Struthio camelus: one gene and its partner. The protein of the gene in region 2 interacts with the protein of the main gene of each other region in a pairwise test. Links are inferred from orthologs where the notes say so. Each region holds a gene or a part of one and is shown on either strand. Other genes may lie near its edges.

What was found.
Region 1: the proteins of ALAS1 (region 2) and DUSP19 interact in a two-hybrid assay, tested with the Homo sapiens proteins (3 studies listed by BioGRID and IntAct). The two-hybrid records come from large-scale screens. The link is inferred for Struthio camelus from reciprocal best matches to the Homo sapiens genes ALAS1 and DUSP19.

The regions. Positions count from the first base shown.
Region 1 is NC_090947.1:17,825,368-17,833,110, forward strand, and holds the start of DUSP19 (dual specificity protein phosphatase 19), read right to left. Parts: upstream 3,105-7,743; 5' UTR 2,646-3,104; coding exon 2,420-2,645; intron 2,188-2,419; coding exon 2,141-2,187; intron 520-2,140; coding exon 367-519; intron 1-366.
Region 2 is NC_090955.1:22,842,944-22,850,977, reverse strand, and holds the start of ALAS1 (5-aminolevulinate synthase, non-specific, mitochondrial), read right to left. Parts: upstream 3,013-8,034; 5' UTR 2,832-3,012; coding exon 2,642-2,831; intron 2,363-2,641; coding exon 2,150-2,362; intron 1,186-2,149; coding exon 1,030-1,185; intron 952-1,029; coding exon 729-951; intron 238-728; coding exon 53-237; intron 1-52.

The DNA of each region.
Region 1 (7,743 bases), on a different chromosome or scaffold from region 2:
GACGGATGTTTAAAAAGCAAAAAAAGCAAAAAAGTTTTTCCTTTTCTCTCTGTCAGATACGGTAACTTGGACTTAGATGGGATTTCTTTATCTAAAGACACAACAGCTTTGTTAAAGAAGCATGTCTCTATAACATGCAGATCAGTCATTCTAAAAAAAGTAACACTGATAGGGAATGGGGATTAATAGCAGGGTCATGTTTCTACGAATGCTTAGAAATTGCTTGAATTCTCTACTTAAAATGAAAAAAGCAATGACAAAGGTACTCATTTGGTGCCACATGTTCTTTTTTGCTTTAGATTTTAAATAGTGCAATAAATAATCTAAACAGGATAACTAGTAGCATTAATTATTCATATACTGTACCTGGATCTTGGCTTTCTCAATAAACTCAAAACATTCTGGGAAGTAGGAGGTAATATCAGTTTCTGGGAGATCCAGAATAGAAATGCTCTTGTATATAAAGTCATTGAGGAAGGCATTCTGGACTCCGTATGCCACATTTAGAACATGAGTAACCTAAGTCCAAAAAAAAAAAAAAAAAGCATTTTCTGAAGACTGCAAGCAACTGAACAGTAAGAAAGGTAGACTATTCATTAGACATACATAGACTGTAATGTACGCAACTGCACTGTTGTTCATTCAGTTTTATATATATAGCCTGCCTATGGTGTGTTTTTTTCAAAGTAAAGTTTTACTGAGTGTTAAAATATGTTGTGCTATATTTCACTTTTCTTCTTTTTTATTAAAACAAAATGGCAATGATCATTAGGGCAATGAAGGTATTTCAAATAAGTAACTTCATATCTACTGAAGTTACTCTGAGTCACAACTTTAATTTATTTAATATCTGATCACCAGGTAGGTACTCAAAATCCATTTCAATTTACAAGTAGGAATCATTTATTTCATCACTGCAGTTTAAACAACTCTGGATGGAGCATAACTTCCATTTTACAGTACAGAGACACACTACCCAACAATAAAAGAAGAATAAATATTAATTTGTCAGATGTGGTGAGAAACTGATCAGCTAAACTGAATTTGACAGAAAGCTAAAGTATTGCAGAGAAGTGCCAAGAAATTTAGAGTGACCGTAAATACCATAGCGTTCAGGGATGAATGCTAATGCCCCATAATTTATTGTGACACTGAGATCTGCTGTCTGAGGATACTCAATGGCACCAAGCCAGTCATACAACCTGGTCAATAAGCTTTAAACCTCTTACTACAAATCATGTGATTGAAGACTTCCTTTTTTTCCCCTCCCCTCATCGCAAATCAGAGGAAATTAAGTGATCTGTGCTCACCCAAACATACAGACTGAAGTAAGGATTTTAAACAGAAAAGGGAGTTGTCAGCATACAGATGGAAAATAAAAGAGAAACCAATGGGAATGACAGTACAGGTCACCCCTGTACTGACAGAATGACACCCCATAATCCCCCAAATTTCAAAGCCTGCCCAAGCCCGTCACAGTGATGTTGTTTCTACTGACTCACCAGTAATGTTTACTGGAACACAAGAATTTCAGAGTAAACTATACTTGCACTTGGCAGAAAAGAGCAAATCTGGCTTCCTACCATATTTGCTCTGTTCAAGGTATGGTGAAGTCATGGATTGTTTTAATTTATGGCGAAGTGACATTTAGATGGCAATGGATGCCAGGTCAGTGCACGCCCTGTCCTGCAGAAGCACAATGGTCTGAAGGCCATACCACCTCATTACCCTAGCAAAGAAGAGTAAAAAGATGGATGTTCAGGACAGACTTAGAGTTATTGCTTTGTTTTTCTCCTTTTAACAACTCCCATAAAAGCCAGTGGGTTTGATTCTGGCTAGCATCTGAAACTTAAGAACATGTATAGCAATGCCAGAATGTATTCTATAAATAGTGCTAAACAATCATGAGTCTTGCAGCAAAGTATTTCAGCCTCTTGTGAAACTCACATGCATCCATCCATCTGTGAATGGAGCTGCTGCAAGCTTTATTGGTAGCAGCCTTTTTAAAGTATAAATGTAGTATTACTACTATCTTTAAAGTTACCTGAGAACATACATTTTTTAGAGTTTTCCAACTTAAAAAAAAAATCCTCTAACAAGCACTACGTGAGGTATGTTTTTAATCGCTACACGATGTTACCTTATACTTCTTCATCGTCTCCAGATCATGAGCAGCATCCTGCGACCCTGGAAAGAGAGCAAGTTTACCATCACGTGAATTATCACTTGGCATCAAGGTAGCACCACACTGTCAAGAAGTCAACAACAGTCACTCCTGAAAGTCTGGAGACCCTTTTCCCTGGAGCCCACTGACTACAAACCAGCAGAGTGAACATTTACTGTCTACGGTTAGCTGTAACCATCCAGCCAGAGGCGAGGCAGGGTCTTCCAGCGGGCCTCGCCAGCGGCACCGACTCACCCAGCAGCAGCCAGGGCCGCACCACGCCGACCTGCAGGTCGGCGCTGAGGTCCGGCACGTAACCGCAGCCGCCGCCGCCGGCAGGCTCCGTCTCCTCCACCACCTGCAGGCAGGCGCCCCGCCACGTCTCGATGATCCTCTTCCCCGTCAGCGTCGTCACCCTGGTGCACTGCTTCCGCAGGTTCGCCCGGGAGAAGCTCCGGATCTCCTCTCCGAGCGAGTGCATGGCACCGGCAAGAGCCGCTCCGCCGGCCACCAACGCCGCCCGCCGGCAGCTGGGCGGCGCCCCCCGCCCCAACGGCAACCGCAACGGCAACCGCAACGGCAGCAGCGCGCGCGCCTTGCCTTCCTCAAGCCGCGGCGCCAGGCGGCCCGCGATTGGCCGAGCGCGCGCCGCCTCCCATTGGCTGCGGAGCCCTCGGGGGCGCGCGCGGCTCTCGCGCGTCCTGGCGTCGTCGCTGCGGGCGGCGGTAACGGCCGTGGCGTGGGGCGGCAGCGGCAGTGGCCGGGATCGTCGTGAGCCGCGGGAAGGAGGGGCCGGGCCCGCGGCTGAGGATGCCGAGGCGGCCGTTACCCGCCACGGGGAGCGCCGGGCTCTCCTCCAATCCGTGGCTGTGGAAAAGCGCTGGTGAGCACTCCCCCTAAGGTGTTCAGGTCGCCCTGGAGAGCATAGAGCTGTCTTGCTGAAGGAACCAGAAGTGGCAGATTTGCCAGCGCTTTTTCTTTAGTATTTACGACCCTGGGGGGAAGTTGGAGGCTCACCGAAAACGCCAGGGCTTTTTTGTTTTGGGTTTTTTTTTCTCTCCTTTCTGGGCTTTTGGTCCGCCAATGAAAAATGCAGCAGGTATGATTGATTGAGGCTGCACTTCAAAACACATGCTGCTGTTCCGAAAAACAAGTCGTGGAGAAATGCCTGTCTGATTGTGAGTTTCCTCATGGAAGCATGAGAAAATGTTACAAGCAATTATACGGAAAACATTAGAATGCAAAATCACTTTTCTCCTGGCTTATTGGGCCAATAACCAAAAACTAATCAGAATCATTTAATTCATAATTTACCAAATTATTATGAATATTATCAAATCATAATTTACCAGAGAGACAAAATAAGGAAAAGGGAGGGAGGGTAACACTGTTCTTTCCCTTCCGTTTGTTCCCAAGATGCTTAATGCCCATATTTTCAGGTAATCTATATAGACTATAAAGTGCTATTTGTAGTGTAATCGTTGCAATAAAAAGGTACATTTGGAGTGAAATCGTTGTTTATAATCAAGGTAAATGGGAATTCTGTTAACTTAAATTGTACCAGAAGTACATTTCAGTTTTAAAGAAGAAATTCTCCATATCAATTCATAGAATAAAGATGGATTTCTACAGTACTTCCCCTCTAGTGTTAAAATATCCTTAAAGCTAGAGCTGAGAGGATACGATGACTCTGAAAAGTCTGCCATTATAGTAGCACTGCTCTGGAACGTGCCTTATAACTGACTTCTGCCCCATACGAACCTGAGGCATGTTGTTGCCTGAGAGCTTCCAAGACTAAGCTGTGAAAGACCCTGTATAAGACCCTGGTAATTAAGTGTTAGTAATACAAATAAATTTTCTTCTTTAACGTCTGAGGAAGAGCCTCCGTTACATGTGGACACAAAAAAGCAGCTGATTCCAAAGCAGTTGATTTATCTTCCGGAAGTGTTTATCATTGCTATAACTATCTTAAACAGCAGGGGTCACTACTAGACATAAAAACTGTGCTATTTTTAGCACTCTGAATATTCAGTCTGCAGATGTTTACAAAAAGAATTACTGTACTATTATTTAATTAGTATGTCTGCATCATCAGCACTAGATCTGGCTTGACTATTCACAAACACTATTTTTTGTCATGCAGGCTGCTGTCAAGTTGTTCATATTTTCCATTACACAATAGAAGAGAAGATGATTGGGGAGATTAGAGTTTAAGATGGGATCTCAGTTCACAGATGAATACTGTTCTCTTGCATGCCTTGCTAAAGATAAAAGACTCCTCAAAAGATACAGCAGGAGCTGAACACTGTCTCCGCCTCTTCGGTAGAATGCATTTATGGTATTGCTGAATCTTTAGTTTATGAATAAGCTATCTGCCAGTGCATGTGCAGCAGAGCTTTAAGCTCACGGTCCTTTAATTTTGTCTGTGTCAAGAAATTCAGCTGAGTGTGTTCTAGTAGATGTAGTATAAGCTAAGAAACGTATAATGTAGGCACAAATTGTTAAAGAAAACAGCTTGTACACATTCAGAAAATCCATGTGACAATATGTCATCTCTCTCTGTTGTCTTCATTTCTTTCCACCACTCATTTAGACCCAGGTTACACCGCCCTTACTCATCGATGTAAAAGAGCCAGTTTCTGTCAAAGAAATGGTAATCAGACATTCCAGATAACTGACTGAGAAAACAGCCTTGCATTCTGAAGAATGAGGATGGTAGGTGGTTGAACTTGATTATAAAATGCACTAAAAATTGAGAGCTGATTGCTTATGTCAGTAACTTAACTGAAGAGGAGAATCGAACCCTGATTAATATGCTAATGACATTTCAAACTGAAATAACCAGATGACTTTGAAGACTAGAGTAAAAGAAATGGGTCAAAATTCAAAGTGTTGTTAGTTAATATCTAACTAACAATATGGGCCTTTGCTGCAATCTGGAAGTTTATTACTTGCAATTAACTGAGAAGGAGAAAAACCTGTGTGCAGCAGTTGGTCACAGAATGACTATGAATCATGAATGTAACGTGGTGATGAGAAAGGCAAGCGTGACCCTAGGATGTGTCAGGAGGCATTTAAAGTAAGGAGAAATAATGAAAATGCTATTGTATAAGGGTCTAATAAGCCTTTTCTGAAATACATTGTGCTATCTGGGGCTGACCGTATTTGAGAAAGATGATCTCATATTGAAACAAGCGCGAAGAACAGCTTAAAGCTTAAACTGCTCTATCTTCATTAGACATTGAACAAAGCACTTGATGGTACTTGTTCTCAGCATGGAGGACTGGCTCACTTTCAATCAGTTTGTCCTGGATCCCTCGAGGCAGGCAACTCAGGCTGCCTGCACTTCAGCAGGAGTAGCAACCCACATAGTATCTATTCCACCACGATTTGTGCCTCCACACACACGAGCACTTTAGCAATGACTTGTCTGCCTCCTACACTCCAGAATGGTGTGCCCACCATCAGGCCCATACCTGATGCAGATTCTCAAACTTTGCGAAGCTATAGGCTATATGATGCCTATTCCTGCTGCCTTTGTTATTGCTGGAGAAGCTGACTGTGTGGAATCATGAGCTCAGGATCATTCCCACCCTAAGCAAGGGCAAGGTGGAATGTGGGAGGATGGCTAGAGCATGACATGCTTTGAAAAAAAAAAACAAAAACATATTTCTCTTCAGAGACATTGGCTTTGGCACATATCTGTACACCCGCATCAGTTCCCCCATAGAGAGAAGTTTTAGCTGAGAGAGACAACCATTCGTTTGTTCTCATTCATTTATTTTCATCCTTTAGACTTGTCATGAGCGGCAGTGGATCTACATCTAGTACGCATGAGAAGAATATTCTGTAAGAAAACCAGAGTCCCAGCAAAGTGTCAGTGAGGTCTGTGGAGGAAAACCTAGCCTCTTCTTCAGCCCACCTGTGTCCCATATGCTGAATGAGGGTGTGGATGTGCAACCTCGTTTATCCTGGTATCCAGTAACATGTCTGGAAAATCTGACTTAAGTGGATTGATGGCTGTGAAGTAAACAGTATGTGAACTTAAAAAGCTACCAAAGTGTAGACCAAAGTCTGAAAGGGCATTGTGTGGGGAAGAATGAATTTGTAGCAAAGCCTCCTCTGGAGCAGGATAGGGCGAGGAGTGAAAAGCCTTCAAGGATTGTCAGTTTTATGTGCTGAAATGGCTACATCACCAAGGTAAGCCATAAGAAACTGTAACTTTGTCAGTTATTGCGGTTGTTTCTAGCATCACAGGGAGAAAGGACAAAGGCAGAGGCAGATTAGTAAGTACATGGCACTTTGAAAGTTTACCATAGTAGCTAGTCTAAATACAGAAAGTGATGGGAAGCAGGAACATGTTGAAGGCTATATACAGACCACTGTCAAAACTAAGAGTTACCGGGGCATTCCTGCAGGCTACCTATTGCTGCAGTTTTGTATACTGCAATCTGGCTCAGTGAGCCCAGCTTCAATGCAAGCTGTTACTTTGTTTCTGTGTTTTTTGTCTACGCCAGTTCATTACACACTAGAAGCAGTAAACCTGTCGGCTAAACTATCTGTAGTTATTCTTGGCTGGGAATGGGCTGAGGCCAGAAGTGGTGGCCTCCCTTGAAATTTCACTCGTCTTGAAATTTCTTTGTGCTTTGATTTGACGTGTTTGTGGTGCCCATTTTTACTACTGCAGAAGGTTTCCAGTTGAAGCAGGTAGTATACCTGCTATACGTGCTAAGATACGTACATATTCCCTCTTCCAATACCCATTCCAATGACTTCCAATACCAATCAAAACATCCATTAAAGCCGTGTTCCTGACATATGCTAGATCATTCTTGATCAGCTGTACCTACCTAGTGTTTCTTCAAATTAGAGCTGGAGATGCGTGTTTGTCAAGCCGAGAAAGAGAGCCACTTCTTTAAGCCTTTGAGTAAGTTTGTAGCCTCAGAGGTCGAGCTGGTGATCTGGCTCTGGCAATAATGTGTGAAAGCCCAGACCACGTTGCAAAAGATTGTAAACAATTAGATGCTCAGTGGTTGTTCCTAACAATTTTGGTAAGTCTGTGGACCTACTCTATCCCTAGCCTCAAGGTAGACAGCCTTCTATTTTATTTTGTTATTTTGTTTATTTTTGTATTTTTGTATTTTTTCTTTTATCTTTTATTCTTATTTTTGTTTTTATTTTTTATTTTGTGTTATTATTGTTTTGGAGGGGTTTATTTTTTATTTTTAAATGTATTTTGTTGTTTTATTTATTTTGTTTTTTAAAGTATTTTTATTTTTGTGTTTTAATATTTGTTTTTTATTTTTAAATTTATTTTTTATTTTTTATTTTTTATTTTATTTTATTCAAACAGCACTGCTTGCTGATCTCTTATAAAGCTAGCCTGACCCAGTGGTATTTCTACTGGAGTATATCCTCATCTTGCTGCAGGGAAATTCTCCCAGAAGCAAAGCCATGCATATGGGCATGGGCCTACAAACGCTTATCAGAGCATTATTTCTCTCTGCACTCACTGCACCTTGTGAGCAATCCATGCAAATGAGTGGACTGATTCACTGATCAAAAGATACATATTTTTA
Region 2 (8,034 bases):
ACAGGGTGGCTGTGTCTTTGTGGTAAACATGGGATGCAGTTTGAGGTCTCACCTGGCAGCATTTTAGCTAGAGTGAAGAGGGTGGAGTCATTGGCTACAAAGCAAGATGAGAACAATAGAGCTGCATCTTTTCCATGAAGATCAGCTAGTTCTTTTTCCAAATCAACATGAAATTTACTTGTTCCTGAAATATTTCTTGTGCCTCCTGCTCCAGCACCATGTTGTTTCAGTGTATCCCTACAGAGTGCCCAAAGAGAGGCATTAGTGTTACTGAGCAACACAAAGATGAATATAGGATTATTGCTGAAAACATTCTACACAATCTCTATCGTTCTAAAAAGAGCTGGCTGTGAAAAGCAGCTGTTATTTTAAGGTCTTTGAGCAACTTGCACACCTCAGGGATTCAATAGGCTAATGAATAAGGTATCAAGTACAGCTGCAATATACAATCCAGTTTATCTGCTAATATTTGGGGGCTGCTGAGGAAGCTCAAGGAGCAGGGTCAGCGACTGACAGGTTATGTTGCAGCCCTGGAGGAAGGGGGGGAAAACCACCACCTATCAAGGCTTAAGAGAAGTATAAGCTTTAAGGCTTCATTATATGAAAGAGTAATGCCAAAGTAGTTATGAAGTACAGTAGAAGTATAAATTCCAGGGAGGACTTTCTATAAAAGCTTCTATAGACCACCGTAGCTTGTAACTGCATCTTAAGAGCACAGTACTACTCACACAACTGCTCCACACACACGAGGGTGACGGCTCATCCCCAGGTAATCATTGCTGCACCACACAGACACCTCCTTTTTGGTGATAAGAGAATCAGAATAGTCATCTGCCATGGGAAAGATTTGTGCCTTTCTGTTTACTGTTTTGAATATTCGATAAGTATGATCCTTCTTCTTTTCATCTATCTTCTTCTCAAAGAACTGATCATACTGGAAGGTGGCCACAGCTGAAATAAGACAGACTTAAGTACATAGGAGTTAATCACAAGCAGACAGGCTACAGGGGTTTTGCCAGCTAAGCTTACATTTTGGCAAGTTATCCTGAAGCAGATGAGAGACACTTTCTGGTCTTTGCTTGAGCACAATATCCTGAAACTTCTTGAGCAAGCCACTCTGCTCTGTTCCCTCAGTTTGAGGGCTCCTCACTGTGGAGTTAGCTGGTGTTTTGGCAAATTCTGTACCTACAGACATGGCAAAGAATTGCAGTGAGCTTAATCCTTTTGAAACAAAATGAAAAGGTAAGTTATGAGTTCAGCAAGGCAGATATTTTAAGTTACTCTAACCCTTTGTTCTTTAAGGGCCTGCAGTTGAATCCATGGGGCATCCTGTTGGCATCGGCTCTTATTGGCTTATAACTTTGCCCTGTATGAGACAACAGGGGAAAAACTAGTTTGCTAATCAATGACAAGACAATGCAATGTCCTTGCACCACACTTGGCTTATCTTGACTAGCAAACCTACTCTATAAGGGTGCAGCTCCCATCTGAAAGAGCTGGTACATAGCTAACTGAAGTCAGGAGTTCTGGTTAGCAGCTTCTGTTTAACTCCCAGCATTTTGTTCAGTTGGTAGAGTTTTCCCCCAAGCCACAGAGAAAACCAGAGAAGTAAAACAAGCTTCCTTTCTGAGAAAGGCAAAAGTTTTACTGATATGGCTGAAAAGCATCTTTCGACAAAACTTTGTCAGAAGCTTGCTGCTTTGAAGGACAGCCCTTCTGCACCAAGCCAGCCAACACCCTTCTGTCATGTCAAACAAATGAAAAAGGTTGCTTGCTTGCTTGCCAGCTTGGATTTGTGCTGCTATTTACATAGTACCCTGTCCTGACTTCCTTCTTCTCTGGATATACCACCTTGTCTATACCAGCACTTTGGTAAAGCTCACTTGAGTCCTAAACATCTACTTTGGGTACAAGTGCTACAGCTTGGTTCACAGCCCTAAAAGCAGGGTGCTATTCCCACATCAGAATCACCCTGGGCAATCATTGCAGAATACAGCTGATACACCATTAACACCCAGTGTCTGCTACAACAGCTTGTCATCTCCCATGGTCCTACTGACACAATTTAAGTGGTGTCAGTTAAGACCTGGCATGTGCTAGAGTGGAGTCAGGCACCAAAGGCAAACGCTTCAGAGCCCAAAATACCTACCTTTCCTCTCGGGCTGCATTTCCTGCACATCCTCCTGGAGTTCTAGGCTGGCTTTGCAGAAGACATTACTGTTCCCGTGATTCATCTGAGCTGCCAGGAAGGGGCACTTGGTAGCAGAGCTCGGGGGGCCGGCGGCAGCAGGCGGCGGGTGGCCGGCGGGCGGCCGGCATCCCTCGGCGCTCTGCTCAGCGGCGTCTTTGGCACTTTTGGCCTCTGAGGTGGGAGGAAGGGGAGGGGAGAGAGGCTTCAGTTTCATCGTTTCGGCGCGGTTACTGGAGCTTTTCTACCTAAGCCCTTAGCGCCGGACTTGGCAGGAGCCGACCGGGGCCGCTTAACCGAGCGTTTGCGTCTTATTTCGCGGAAGGAGGAAATTCCAGCGCCTGATTCAGCCGCTCGTCCGGCACCGCGGCGCAGGAAGGGGGAAACGCGTCCTTCCCCCCCCCCCCACCCCGGGGCGGGGAGCTCAGCGCCCCCCCCCCCCCCCGCACTCACCGCGGCGGGCGGCCGGGGTCTCCTCAGCGCGCTGCCGGCACCCGGCCGAGCTGCCGAGGGCGCGGGCCGGCGCCGCCTCCATCATGCGCGGGCAGTGCTGGGCGTAGAGCAGCAGCGAGGGCCCGGCCTTCTGCAGGAAGGCCTGCGGCACCCGGGCCAGGAACGGGCAGCGCCGCACCACCGCCTCCATCGTGTCGCTGTCGCCGCCTCACCGCCCTGTCGTGACAGGCACCCGCCTCGCCGCTGCGAGTGCCGCCGCTCCCTATATAGGCCGGGCGAGCAGGGCGCATGCGCGTTGCGGCTGCCACCGCCGCCCCCATGGGCGCAGGCGCGGGAGGGGCGGGGCGCGGCCGGCCGCCCGCCCCCGGCCTGGTGTGGCGCGGGGCGGGGCGGGGCCGCGCGCCTTTTCCAGAAGGGTCGGAGGGCGGCGGGGCTGGGGCTGGCGCCGTGCCCGAGGGCGGTGCCGGTGCCCGGCGCCCGGCGAAGGGAACAGCGTTCTCGTGAGACGGGCGGCGGGGAGTAGCGCTGAACCCTGCGGCCCCTGGCCCGCGACAGGCGTTAGCGCCTCTCTGCTCGTCCGCTTGGGAGGGAGGGTGGTTTTTATTTTCGTGGTGTTCCGTGGGGTTGTTTTCGTGCTAGCCGGGGCTCTCCTCGTAGCCAGCCCGGCGGCACCAAGCGTCGGCAGCGCTCTGCGAGCTGCCGCTACCCCCCGAGCGCCGAAAGGGCCAGGGGAGGGAAGGTGACGGGTTTTTTTCTTCCTCTTCTTGTAAAACACTGATTTCGGGCTCGCGCAGAGTACCGCCTCGCTCATCCTCACCCCACCCCTTCCCCCAGGCAAAAGCCACCTTTTGGCTGGTTTATAAGATAGCTGTACTTTTTTTATTGAGTAACAAGTGTGGGGTTTAGGAGGAGCGCTCTTTCGAAAGTTCCCTCTCGACTGACACCTCGCGTCTCACCGAGCGGTCGAGGTGCTGGGAGGCACTCGTACGGTCGCGGCTGGGGAAGAGCAGAGCCTGTCTAGACCTGTGGCTGCTGAGCTCCTGAGTTTGGCTGCGCAAGGCGCTAGGAAGGTATCGGTCAATGTTTACACGTTACGAATTAATCCGTAATTGCCTGATCCCGCCTCTGTCACCGCGTTTGAAGATGCTGGTGGCAGCACGTGAAGTTGGCGGCCTGGATAAGCAGACCCCGAGGAGGTCGAGCTTTTCAAACCCCCCGTTAAACAGCAGAGTCGCTGTCAGCTTCCGCGTGCCGTTCAGCTCCCGCTTAGGGAACCGGACAGCGTTCTGGCCTCGCTTGTTCCTCGTGGAGCCCTAATAACAGTCAAATGGGGCTTTACACGGTAGAGGCATGGGATATTTGGGTTTTAATAGGGCTAGAGAGTGTTTTAAGCACAGTTTGCTTGCTTATTAGAAATTTAGCACGGCGTTGACTTGTGAGTCTTAATATTCAAAGCTTAAACAATTCGACTCGTTATTTCAGCAACATAGTGCAGAAGTTACCATTAACGTACACAGCTTTTTTTTTTTAAGTGGATATCATTAAACTGCATGTGTGCCAGTTTTATTTTGTTCTGTAAATAAATGATTAAGCTGAGGGTACGGTATTCGATCCAAGCCCGTACAGCGGTTGCGATAACAACAGTCTTGGGCGCTTGGCAATACCAGGACGGTGCTTCAAGTTCTTAGCTGAGTTTGTTCACGAAGAGAGCTCGTTCTTCATAGCTGGCTTTCAGTTAGTGCTACACGCGGCAAGTACTTATGTTTTGCAAAACATAATAGTGAATAAGCTATTAAAAAAAAGTTTAAAGATGCCTGATGTGTGTTTGGATGACTGCTCTCCCTTCCCACATCGAACATCTGACTCTCTACCCTCAAGCTGTTGCCCACATCAGTTATTTTTAAAAATGAGGAAACAGACTACTAAATTCTGCTGTGCAGATATCTGGTGAATATCATCAGAGCAGAGTTAGGTTCCTGAACCTAAGGGATCATTGCGGTGTTCTTTGGATTAATTTCAGTTTTAACACCAGAAACTGAGTCCTGTATGCCTGATTTATAGTGTGTTGATGGCATCTTTCCTTCTCCCCTTCTTCTTGTATTCTGTGACCATGCTACTTAATTCAAGAGGGGCGGAAGGAATACTTCATGAACAACAGCCCGCCCTAGAGAAAGGGGTTTGACAAGTACGTTGGCCGAGTAGCGCAACAGACTGTAAAGCTTGTCTGTATGGACACCTGCCGCAGCAGGTTCAAGCCCGCAGAAATCTGATAATGCTTCGTTATCCTAATCTTAGTAGCAGCATCTTATTATATTGCAAGGTTGGGGGATGAAGTGCGTTAGCCTGCTCTGTTGCTGGAATACAGAAACTTATGCTTTTAGAATTAGAAGTGCCCATGTCAAGTCTGGTCAGTAAATGAGCCTGAAGAGCATCAGCTTGTTACCCAAACATGACTCAAGGTTGGAAGCTGAGACAAAGTGACCTTGGCTAAGATGGTGAGATCTCCAAACGGTGCCGAACCCTGAGCTCTCCTGTCAAACTTGCTTAGGCTCTGTGGTGTTAATCAGACCCCATCATAACACTGTTTTCGAGCTTGTTTCTGGTGAATTTATTTAACCTTGTACATGACAGAAGTTGTGCAGAGCTAAATAGCAATGAAATGACATAAACTTGACCCTTATCTTGGGGAGCTGCCAAAGGAGAATGTCACCGTCAGTGCACAGAGATGGTTGTGAGCTCTAGGTCCAATAAAGTGCTGAAAAAATAGTGGTAAAATTAGGGGGAAAGGGTGTCTTCTCTACTGCTCTGCCAGTTCACTCACTTTGGGAGTTTTAGGTAGTGAAGATGAAGTAAATGCTAATAAAGCTATCGTTAATTAAAGTTTCTTAGGGCTTTAGTGGATCAATTAAATGGTATTTAAAGATTTTAATTGTGGGGCTGTATTACCCTCATCCTCCAAGGCTCAGGAGAAACTAGCTGGAGTGCCATGCAAAAGCTGGTTGCCGCACTCCAGGAAGAGGATTTCAGACAGAGACGCATGGGATGGTACCGTAGTAGCCAAGCGGGGAACAGGAAGCTCATCCCAAGAGGGAAAACTAGGCATACGCAGCCTGTCAGGAGGCCACTGGTGGGCATGGGAGAAACGGGTTCGCTGCCTGTGAATACATAAAAGGTGGAGTAGCATGTACCAAAGAAGGAAAAACGGTTTAGGCTGCGGGGATGACCTCGATGTGAGACCAAACGCTTACTCAGCTGGCCGTGAAGAAGTGTAGGTTGGAATTTGGGTGGTTCCTGGCTGTAACTGTTTTGGAACAGCCTTCTGGTAAGAGCCACTGAGACTATGAATACCAGCTGGCTTTTTGCAAGGGAAGCTCTATCTGCCTGAAAGGCTCATGGGATGTAGTGGTAGGGGCTCAGTTACCCAGAGCGTCTCTGCTGATTTTTTTTTTTTTTTGTTTTCTAAAGCCCATTCTGTTCTGATGATTTGTCCATTTGTTTGCTAAATGAGTTGCAAGAGGAGAAAAAAGGTTAAATTCCAGCAATCTGGGAGGTGGATGAGAAGCAGTAGAAAGTGGTTCCCAGATAGAAGTCTAAAGGGAAGGAAAAAAAAACAAAAAAAACCCTGCCACAAGGTCAAGTTGATTTCTGCAGATGTCCATGAAAAGTTGCTGCTAAAGATGGTCTCTTTCTATGTGATTGGTTTACTATACAGGCTGAGCTGGGAATTGCCATGAAAATAATTCCCTTCTGTCCCTCTCCTCTCTAACAAGTTTTCCTAATATTCCTAGAAACAGAACTTGACCAGCAATTTGTAACTTTAATCCAGTCTCACATCTGTCAGCAATTAGTTCCTCTGTTTGAATTTGAATTGGATTTTTTGATCTGTAGAGAAGCCTTTAGATTCTTCAGGAGAAAAGCAAGAGTAAAGCCCCTCTGCACCCAGGTTATCCAAAGGAAAACGTGTAACTGTACCATTAGCAAAGCTTAATCCCTCTTGCCCGCTTCCCAAATCAGAGGCTGCACGCATTTCTCATTTTTCCCACCCATTCAGTGTCACAAAAGGGCAAGACAGAAAAACAGTCCTCCTCGCCGCCCCCCCCCCATCTCTTCCTATATTGAGATCAGAGTTTTCCAAAGGAGTGGATGTGATCCTGACATCTGGATTTAATCCAGACTCAAATTCCAGGCTTGGGTCTAAGAATTTCCACTTCCAGTGCTGAGACTAGCAGTTCTTAGAGAGCTGTTTACCTTTTAAGGCAAAATTCAAGGGTTGTAAGAGTAGTAGCATAGTGAAAATTCCTCCCATGTTGCATTTCTTTAGTATTTTTTCCCCCATCTCTTCCTCATTTGGATAGAATGCTCTCCATGTTTTCCTTACTTGACAAAAGAGGGAACCTCCTTTCTCTCTGTGACCCCAGTCTGCTGGGTTTTCAGTCAAGCTGGAAGAGGTGCTGAGTGTTGAGGCATGGGATATCTGTCGGAAAGTGCGTGAGCTGCACCCCCCTTTTTGAGCCACCAAGGGAGCAAGCTCCTTACCCAGGGTCATGCAAACAAGTGCCAAATTGATTTTCTCCCCAGTGCAGTGGATGCCTTTGAAAACTTATGGGCTGCCTGTAGGTCCTCACAAGCGCGTTGGGTCAGGATCCTTCTTACCTGCCTGCTGAGGCCCAGATGCAGAGGACTTCTGTAGCTTGGCAAACCCCTTTATTTCAGTCTGACTCATGTTCAGATGAGACAGGAGAAGCTGTTGCCACCCTAATACAGGCACCCTGCCCTTCTGCTGCAAGGCACTACTCCCACATTAGGGCTGCTGCAACTTTCAGTAGCCAGCAGTGGTTTATCTTAATTGCAGAATGTCTCCTTGACTTTCCTCAAGTTGCTTCAGAGTTGGAAATCATACAGCACTGTCTTTCATTTGGCATCTTCAAGTTTGTCTTGCTGTGTGCGGTATGTTGCAGGAACTGATACAAGAATCCTTCCAGCTAACGTTAGCTTTGTTTCACGTACAGTGATTTGCAATCACACCCTTGTTTGTTCCTCTCACGTTCCTTTCGTCTTTCTCTTAGAAAGGACCAGTAGGGTCCAACCAGTATATTTTTGTTAGGATTATCGTGGACTTCAAGCCGTCATTTTTCTTGCATCTTTCAGTCCTCCTCCTTCCTCGTTAGCTCCTTAGGCAGAGATATCACCTTCTACATCCAGCTGAGGAGCTTGAACTCTCTCTGTAGCTAGCAGAGAGGAAAAGTATTTTTCCAAAGAGTGAATCTGAGTATTTCTTGTACAAAGGGGTGAGAGGGTGGGGAGAGGACTTAGCTCCTAAATTAAGGTCTCTGTAACTGGAGTTTCAGAAAGCAATTAAAGCTCCAATAATTTACTTTATTCTTAAGTAAATA